Cricetulus griseus: one gene and its partner. The protein of the gene in region 2 purifies or fractionates together with the protein of the main gene of each other region. This does not show direct contact. Links are inferred from orthologs where the notes say so. Each region holds a gene or a part of one and is shown on either strand. Other genes may lie near its edges. The genes, in order: Ripk2 and Nod2.

Evidence for each region.
Region 1: the proteins of Nod2 (region 2) and Ripk2 purify together in Homo sapiens (affinity purification with western blotting; 12 studies listed by BioGRID and IntAct, with this or other methods). This does not show direct contact. The link is inferred for Cricetulus griseus from reciprocal best matches to the Homo sapiens genes NOD2 and RIPK2.

What each region holds. Positions count from the first base shown.
Region 1 is NC_048595.1:130,017,691-130,022,238, reverse strand, and holds the start of Ripk2 (receptor-interacting serine/threonine-protein kinase 2), read left to right. Parts: upstream 1-1,626; 5' UTR 1,627-1,780; coding exon 1,781-1,953; intron 1,954-4,548.
Region 2 is NC_048596.1:164,270,883-164,275,259, reverse strand, and holds the start of Nod2 (nucleotide-binding oligomerization domain-containing protein 2), read right to left. Parts: upstream 2,869-4,377; 5' UTR 2,797-2,868; coding exon 2,739-2,796; intron 536-2,738; exon of another isoform or gene 1-535. UniProt on the Homo sapiens protein: Pattern recognition receptor (PRR) that detects bacterial peptidoglycan fragments and other danger signals and plays an important role in gastrointestinal immunity.

The DNA of each region.
Region 1 (4,548 bases), on a different chromosome or scaffold from region 2:
ATATCATGTAGTCCTAGTTGAGAATCTATAATTATATATAGTTCAATGTCATATGTAAGTACATATTTTTAAATTTTTATTTTGTGTATCTATTTATTTAGGTTGTTTTGTTTGTTTGCTGAGACAGGGTTTCTCTGTGCAGTCTTGTCTGTCCTGGAACTCACTCTGAAGACCAGGGTGGCTTCTAGCTCAGAGATATCTCTGCCTGCCAGAGTGCTAGGTTAAAAGTGTACACTACTACCACCTAGCTCAAAGTTTTATTTTTATTTATGTGTATGCAAACTGCAAAAGCCAGAAGAGGGGTCAGAGACCCTGGAGCTGGAGGTACAGGCAGCTGTGAGTCACCAGATGTAAGGCCAATAGCAAAACTCCATCCTCTGCAAGAACTGCCAAGCCTTTTAATGGCTGGGCCGTGTCTCCAGCCCAAGAACACATACTTCTAAACTGTAGACTTGTAAAACTATGAAGAACTAAAGTTTAGGAAAGAATGTGTGGATGATATATATATTTTACACTATTCATAAAAGGGACACAATTACAGAGTTTAGTATCCAGGTAGGGATAGGATTACAGAACTAAATGGCACACAAATATGAGGTACTAAATTTGTGCCAAACATCCCACTGAACAGTCATCTAAGTAGAAAGGTGTTTTAAGTAAAAAGATGGAATAGTGATTGGGTTTTGGTAGTCTTTTTTGTTTGTGTGGGGTTTTGTTGTTATTTTGGAGTGTTTTGTTTTGTTTTTGTTTTAGATAGCAGCCTTCCCAAACACAAGAAATGGTGGTTTTTCAATTTGTCCGTAGGCTTTGGAGAATAAAAACAGCAAGTTTCCTGGTAGAGGAGCATGTCACAGGGGCTAAACACCTCAATTTGTCACACTGTGACAGTGCTTACCTCTCCACCTCACTCCTGAAGTGGTAGTCACCGAGTGCCAGCAGATGGTTATCGCTCAGGAAGTGGGACGATATAGATGTCACCGAGCTCCCCAGCAGGAGTCACCCCCACCCCATCACTTCTGGGGTTTGGAGACTAAGGCAGACACCAGGCCAAAGGAAAATCCGGCGTGGACGCCACTGCAGGGACTTTCCCCAGAGGAAAAGTGCTCCAGGCCTGAGCAGAGCCACAGGGCTGAGAGGGAGGGGGAGCTGAGTCCCCCACTCTGCTGACGTTACCCAGGAGCCTGCTGAGGGAGGAGCCTGCAGAGGGAGGAGCCTGCGGAGGGAGGAGCCTACGGAGAGAGGAGTGGACAGAGGGAGGAGCCTGCAGAGGGAGGGATGGAGGGAGGGGCCTGCAGGGGGAGGAGCCTGCAGAGAGAGGAGCCTGAGGAGAAAGCCAAAAGAAGCAGGCGCCTACGGAGAGAGGAGCCTGCAGAGGGAGCCGCCTGCAGAGGGAGGAGCCTGCGGAGAGAGGAACCTGCGGAGGGAGGAACCTGAGGAGGGAGAAGCGAAAGGAGGAGTCTGCGGAGAGAGGAGTCTGCGGAAGGAGGAGTCTGAGGAGGGAGGGGCCGCGGGTAGAAGAAGTAGGCTGAGGAGATGGGTGGAGGGAGGAAACCGCAGAAAGAGAAGCAGGGGAGGGAGGGGTCCGCGGAGGGAGGAGCGCGGAAGGAGGAGGAGTGCGGAGAAAGGTCCTCCCTGGCGCGGCCGCAGACGGACGGACTCCCAGGGACAGTCGCCCGGCCGGAACTGCAGCGGCCACGCGGGAATGGGCCGCCCGGCGACCTGACGCCGCACTGCACCGGCCACCGCCAGGATCTAGCGGAGCCGCCGCTCAGCTAGAGCCATGAACGGGGACGCCATCTGCAGCGCACTGCCTCCCATCCCCTACCACAAGCTCGCCGATCTGCACTACCTCAGCCGCGGCGCCTCGGGCACCGTGTCGTCGGCACGCCACGCGGATTGGCGCGTGCGAGTGGCCGTGAAGCACCTGCACATCCACACGCCGTTGCTCGACAGGTAGGGTGCAGCCGCGGGGCCCCACGCAGACGCGGGCCCGCACGGCCACAGTCCGGCCACACTGACCGTGATGCGCCAGCTCCCCGCAGCTGCCAGTTCTTATCCCTGGGGCTATCTTGGTCCAAGGGAGAAACTGCCCTGGACGTGCGTCAGAGTTTCCAACTCGCCTCTCCTCCCATCCGAGGTGTCCGCTCTCTCCTCCAAAAACATGCAATCACGGCCACCTCTAAAAGCCTGTTTATTGAACCCGACGTGTGTTGGTACAGTGCATGTGGGCTTAGCTCTATTTTTAGCTAGCTGTTAGCCACAAGAGCCGTGGAACTCATGAAACTGGGCTTTGGAAATGAAATATGTAGTGAGTGCAAAATACACACCAGATTTTGAATATTTAGTACTAAAAAATGTACCAGTGTTTTTATATTAACTACATGTGAAAATATTTTCTAGGGTTGTATGTGTGTTTCACTCCATATTTATCAGTGCTACTCCAGAGCCTGCATGTTTTGCTTTGATCAGATTGGTTTTATCTTGTTTGTGGCTTATTACATGCAGTCATGAAGTTCAGATATCAAACTCTACATTAGCCATTGTTATTCGAGCTCTTACTTTGGAAGTCCTCAAAGGAAGTGTGTGCTTTTTTTTGTAACAGTAAATTGAAATCAAAGATTGTTAAATGGTCAAAATTTGTGAATATAAAAAAATGTGATTGCCTCACATTCTGATATTATTTGAGTCCAGTTTCCACATCAGGAAAAAAAAATAGCCTTGGTTTCTGTTTCCGGGAAACATTGCAACTAAATACCATGGATCTGTGACTGTACGTGTTAGTCAAAGAGTCTGGTCAGTACTCTTGTGTGTTTTCCTTCCGGAATTCATTCAGTTCTTAATGCACTAACATCCGTAGTTGCAACGTTCTCTTCTCCTGCATCTTGAGTGAAAATACAAAATTCATAGCGGCCCCATTGGCCAGAGGCTGTTAATGTCTGGTGTAAGGTCATATCCAGCATCAGAGACCTCTCTTGTCTTCAGCCCAGCTAGAATATTGGACTTTCATCTGCCTGTAGTAGCTTTTATCCCCCCACCATGGGCTAGATCACATTGAAGTTTGGAACACTAAAACTTTCTGTGTACCATGATCCAGATTCAGATACTGGGCCTTATAGTCGGTGGAGCTAGTGCTGGGTAAAGTGTGTTTGTCTGGGATCGACTTTAAAGGGAGGCTGGCTAGAAGCCAATTAAACAAATATTCTGTGGATATGTAGCACTAGTAGACCATTGAGTATACCAAAGTGATTTCTCACTTTGGATTCTGCTTTCCAAGGTTTTTATTTACAAAAGTGTTATGCTTTTTGTGGGCCAAGCGACAAAGATGGTGATGCTTTCCCATTTTCACCAACCACATCATCGTATAATTTCATTGAATTGGATAAAAAATTATCTTTCTAAGACCAACAAAATCCTGTGACCTTACTGCATTTCATTCTTTTCTCTTGTTGCCTAAGATCTTAACAAGTGCATAAGCGTAGGCTTATGCAATTGACTTGGGTGTCTTATTTCCTCACTTATAAAATATGAATTATAAACACGTACGTACGTATATTTGTTGTGCTCTATCTAGTATAGATAAAGTGCCCATTGTTCTTTAAGATGACCTGAGAGGAAAATAAATTTTTGTGACGTGGCATATTATTTTAATGATTAATGAGTCATTCTCTGTAGCCAATGAGTGGGCCTAACATAGCAGACTTCCTACCTTAATGGATAGATGACTCCACTTGGTACCTTAGAGATGGGGTAACTGTTTCCTATTGAAATTTTGAGTTGGGTAATTTTGGTGATATAATCATTGAAACTGTCTTTTACATTTTTAGCTTTTTTTAATCTTTTAGTTTTATTTCCCCCCTTAGTCTTGTTGAAATCTAACCTTATAAACTGTCCAACTTGCTTTCCTGGTCAAACAACAGACTAGGAAAAACACAGACCTTAGAGTACCAGGACTACAATTTGAATCTGACTTTAATCCTGTTGCTTTGTTTGGTTGTGGTCACCAGAGGATCATTTATTTCTCCGACTCTGGGTGTCCCTGTATGTAAAGTGGAGGTAATGGAGCCAGCTTTAGAGAGGCAATTGAACAGTTAGTGTTTATAAAGTGGCTGACAGGAAGGAAGAATACATCAGACTTTTTCATGTGTGTGCGCATGTGTGTTTGTGTTCGTGTATACACACATGTTGTACGTACTGGTCCATGTGCATGATAAGGAAGCCAGGGGTCAACTTCAGGTATTGTTCCTCAGGACCACCATTTATCTCAGGGGCAGGTTAGTGTTTCAGAGTGTTTTATTGTTGTCGACTTTTTTATGTGGATTCTGAGGAATCAAACTCAGATCCTCCTGTTTGTGTAACAACCACTTCACCAGCTGTACTGTCTTCCAACCCCTTGTTTCATACTGTGGACAGGAGGAGGAAAGGGGATCTTATATATGCATGTGGCTGGAACTTCCACAGTGCACTCTCTCTGTGGATGTTTCTCAGTGTCCAGGAATCTTCGGGTTCATCCCATAAGGAAAACACAGCAACTGTCTTGTTGACCCGTAT
Region 2 (4,377 bases):
GCTCGGTGCTCTGCCTCCATCCACAGCTGGAAAGTCCCATCTTGCCAGTCTCCTGCATACCACAAAGCAAGGCATAGCCCCACAGACCTATTCTGCCAGTCCCCTGCCTCTGAGTAGGCCATCTTTCTATCTCATCTTAAGCAGCTGGAAAAGAAGACCTGGGGTTGATACTATCGTCCTGACCAGCTGAGGAGTCCTTCATTAGTTTATCTTGTTCGGCTAAATTTGGAAGAAAAAGCAAAACGATAGATGCTCTTGTCACCTGTTTCATAAAAGCTGGTCTAGTATCCTGTTCCTGCACCTTCCTACTCAGTCAGACTCGTCCTCTCCAGGTTAAACAGGCTGTTCTGCTTCCCTGCCTTTTCTTCTCTATCCAGCTAGGGCCACCTTGGAGTCACTCTTAGGCTCTGCAAGACGGAACCCAAACAAAGGGGGCACCAGCTTGCTGAAACAGAGGGTCAAGGGTATCTACAGAGGCCCCTCTCAGCCAGGTGGTGGTGGCACATGCCTTTAATCCCAGCACTCAGGAGGCAGAGGCAAGCAGATCTCTGTGAGTTTGAAGTGAGCCTACAAGAGCTAGTTCCAGGACAGCCTCCAAAGCCGCAGAGAAACCCTGTCTCAAAAAACCAAAAAAAATTAAAAGTAAAAATAAAAATGAAAAAAAGCCCCTCTCATCCCCAAGCCCCCAAACACACACACACACACACACACACACACACACACACACACACACGTGCTCATGCACACGCCTGTGCCCCAGCACCTCCTTCCTTCCCAGGATCATAGGCAGCCTGGTTTTCCTTGAAGTTCCCAGCTGAGGATTTGTTTGAGAGCTGAACAATCCTTGCAGTGTCCCAGGCCTCCAGCAGATGGGAGAGGAAGGGAGGTCCCCAGAAGAGTGTCCTGGTCCTGGCTGGCCAAGCTTTCCCTGGGGCACTAACCCCACTCTCCATCTCCACTGAGTTGCTCCCCAGGACATCAGTTCCCATCATAGAACAAACAAACTAATTCATCCTTCATTTCTGCCCTCCCTTGTCTAGGCCTGAACTTCCCAGTCCTCCCTTCATCCTTCCCCCCCACCCCACAACCATTACAAGTGAAAATGCAAACCATGACTTCCAGTATTTGGCCTTCTGTTCCTGGTCTTCCTTTCTGACAAGGACTTTTGTTCTACCTGTTCACTCTCCTCCCTGGAGCACGTCTCTTGAGGCCATGAAGGATTTCTCTGACCTTCCTTCCCACATGCTAGCTACTCTTTCTAGCCATTCTGCCTCCAAGGCTGATAACACACCTCTGTACTGCCGCCGAACTGAATCACTGCCACTTCTCTGAGCCACTCTCTCCCCACATAAGCCCACCTCCCCACAGGCTTAAATTCCCAACTATGTGGCAGTGATGCCTGAAATGTCACTGACAGTTCTGGACAACATTCAACATCATGTGGTACCTACCAGCATCTCCAAACAACTCAATCACTGGACCTTCCTCCTAACAGCTAGCTCCTTTCTCAACTGAAAGTGGCCCCAAACTGCCAGAGTCATCCTTGACTCTGCCGCTCTCGGGCATCACAGACCATCCACCCAGCCTTCAACAGACCCCAAATCTGAAAGCCACAGTTTCTCTCTCCACCTCTCTCTATACCACAACATAAGCCCTGAAGCCTTCTCATGGTTCCTTCATCTGCCATGACCCCCTATAGGTCAATGTTAGTCACACAACTAGATGAACCTGCCAGATCTTAAGTCAGAGCAGAGACCTTATCTGTTCACAGCCCAGCCCACTAGTGGATCTCATCATAGTCAAAGCGAAAGCCAAAAGCCTTTATAGCAACCTCAAGCTCAATACAAGAGACCTCAACTTCCACCCCTTTCCTCCTAGCCTCCATTGACTCCCACCCTGCTGTAGCCCCTCACCTGCTTCCTCACTCTCAGAACAAGGGAGCCTGCTCTGGTCTGTGGTGCTCCTGCCTTTGCCTAAGCTTTATGCTCACAGGGCACTCTCTGTCCCACAGATAGTCACATGACTTGCCCATCACCTCCTTAAGATTTTGTTCAGTGGCCACTGTCTCAGAGGGGCCTTCCTATGCTATGTAGAACTGTGGTCCCCAAGCCCTGTCCCAGCATTTTCTCCCCACAGTCCTTTTCATCATCTGCCATGGCAAGCATTATCATGATACACTGCTGGAGCTCCTCTCTGGACCCTGTGCCTCACCCTGTGAATAGACTGGTCTGAATGAATGAGAATGTCTTTATTCCACACAGCTTGGGGAGGTAGCTGTGGAACCAGAGAGTAGCCATTACAAGGCACAGACTTTAGCCAATGGGCTAGTAGGAAGTGCCTGCTCACTGGGCCACAGTGAGTGCTGACCTGGGTGAGAGAGAGGGGCAAAGTGTGGGCCAGTGCCAGCTTGGAGCTGCATGTGGAGACCACCTGGCATCAAATGGCCAAGAAACCAGGGCCTCCAATAGCCTCACAACAGACTGACTGGAAGAGAAGCAACAGAGCTGTCACTTGGTCTTTTCCCCAATTGGGCAGAGGTGGCTGATGGAGCCAGCTTTTCTGACCCTGCAGAACCCTGGCCCTAGGGGGAGATCATACTCCCCCTAGGGCAGGAAAGCCAACAGCCTGCCCCAGGCCAGGACCCTGCAGGATCTGAAAAAAAAGAACAACAACAAAAAAAAAAAAAAAAAAAAAAAAAAAAAAACAGCCATGAGAGTTTCAACCAGCTACAGACCTACCCAGAGGCTTGGGAGCTAGCTTGTCCAGACATAGAGGCACCAATGACTTGAGAAGCATAAGAGAGGATCAAGCTTGAAAGCTGAGCTGGCACTGGGCAGGTGGCCGTGGGTCTCTCCAGGCAGAAACAGCTTTTGGCCCCAGCTCCCACACTTACAAATGAGTAAGGACAGGCAGGAGACACCTGCAAGGATCAGGGAGCAGCAGCTGGGGTCTCTGAAGACCAAAGACAGAGAAACTGAGGCCCACGGAGAGGGGACAACTGTGCCAGGAATGGCTCCTCCTGCGACCCAAAGCAGGATTTCCTCCTTCTGGGTAAGGACCTCACCTGCAAGTTTTCACCTCCACTGTCCCAGCCACCCCCAAACCTCAGCCTCCCCTTAGACTTCAAAGGATCCTGGGGCCTCAATGGGCTTCCCGTGCCCTAAACCTCTTCATCTTCAGTGACCACAGTCTGACACGGGTCCCCTCTCGAGAAGCCCCTTTCCTTCTACAGCCTATCTATTCTGCTGATGATTCCACAGGGAAACAGTTCCTTCTGGAAGGAAGCGCAGAGCCAGTTAACACCATCATAGGGATGGGACATTAGGCGCTCGTGTTCTCCACCACACCGAGCCCGACCCCTCCCCCCCCCCGGAGCACTAAGTCTGCCCCCAGAAAACCTCTTTTCACCCACCCACCCACCACCCCGAGCACCCGCAGACCACAGAAGCAGCAGGCAAGCACTCACCGCCAGCTGCAGCGCGGGGTTCCTCCGCCCGCCTGGTGGTGACTCCCTCCGTGATCTTGCCCCGCCCGTCGTTCCACCTACTTAGCCAGTGACCCCGCCCACTGTGGCGGATTCGGAAGGGCGGCCACACCCCTCCTGATTTCCCTCTGGGGACAGGTGGTAAGACAGGTATCTTGGAAGAAGCCTGCCTGCGGTGCAGTGTATCCTGCCCTTGTGTGGCCGGCTTTCTGGGCCACCTTCCAATTAGGAGGGAACCATAGAGTCCCGAGAACAAGAGACAGGAAAGCCCTCCCTGTCAGCAGGAACCGATGCACCCTCCCAGGGATCTGTAAGCCCTTTAGTCTTGATGGTTGCATTCCCAGATGGCTGTGCTGGGTGGAGACTTACTAGGACTTTAAAGTTACTCTCTTCCCCTTGGCCGTCAGTCCCATGCAAGCTGAGGAGAGGAGGTCACAGCATATTAGCACTTGCCTCCCACACAGTGCTGGGCTCTACCATCATCCTAATCAGAATTCAATAGTGTTGTTTTGTTTCTATTGCATTCATTTGATTTTATAACTTCCTATTCTTAATGTTATTTTTAATGATTTATTTAAATTTTATTTATTGTGCATCAGTGTGAAGGTGTCATATCCCCTGGAACTGGCGTTACAGTCAGTTGTGAGCTGCCATGTGGGTGCTGGGATTTGAGCCAGGTCATCTGGAAGAGCAGCCAGCTCTTAACCACTGAGCCGTCTCTCCAGCCCCTCTTAAAGTTATTTTTAAAACACTTGAATGTGAAGCCTCATAATGACATTGACACAGAGTTTTTGTGTATAAAGTGAGGACATGATCACTCAAAGGTGTGGTTGAGGGGGAGGTTTTTATTGTAGATATGAGGGAGAGCACTGCCAGAGGCATCTGGAAGAGTC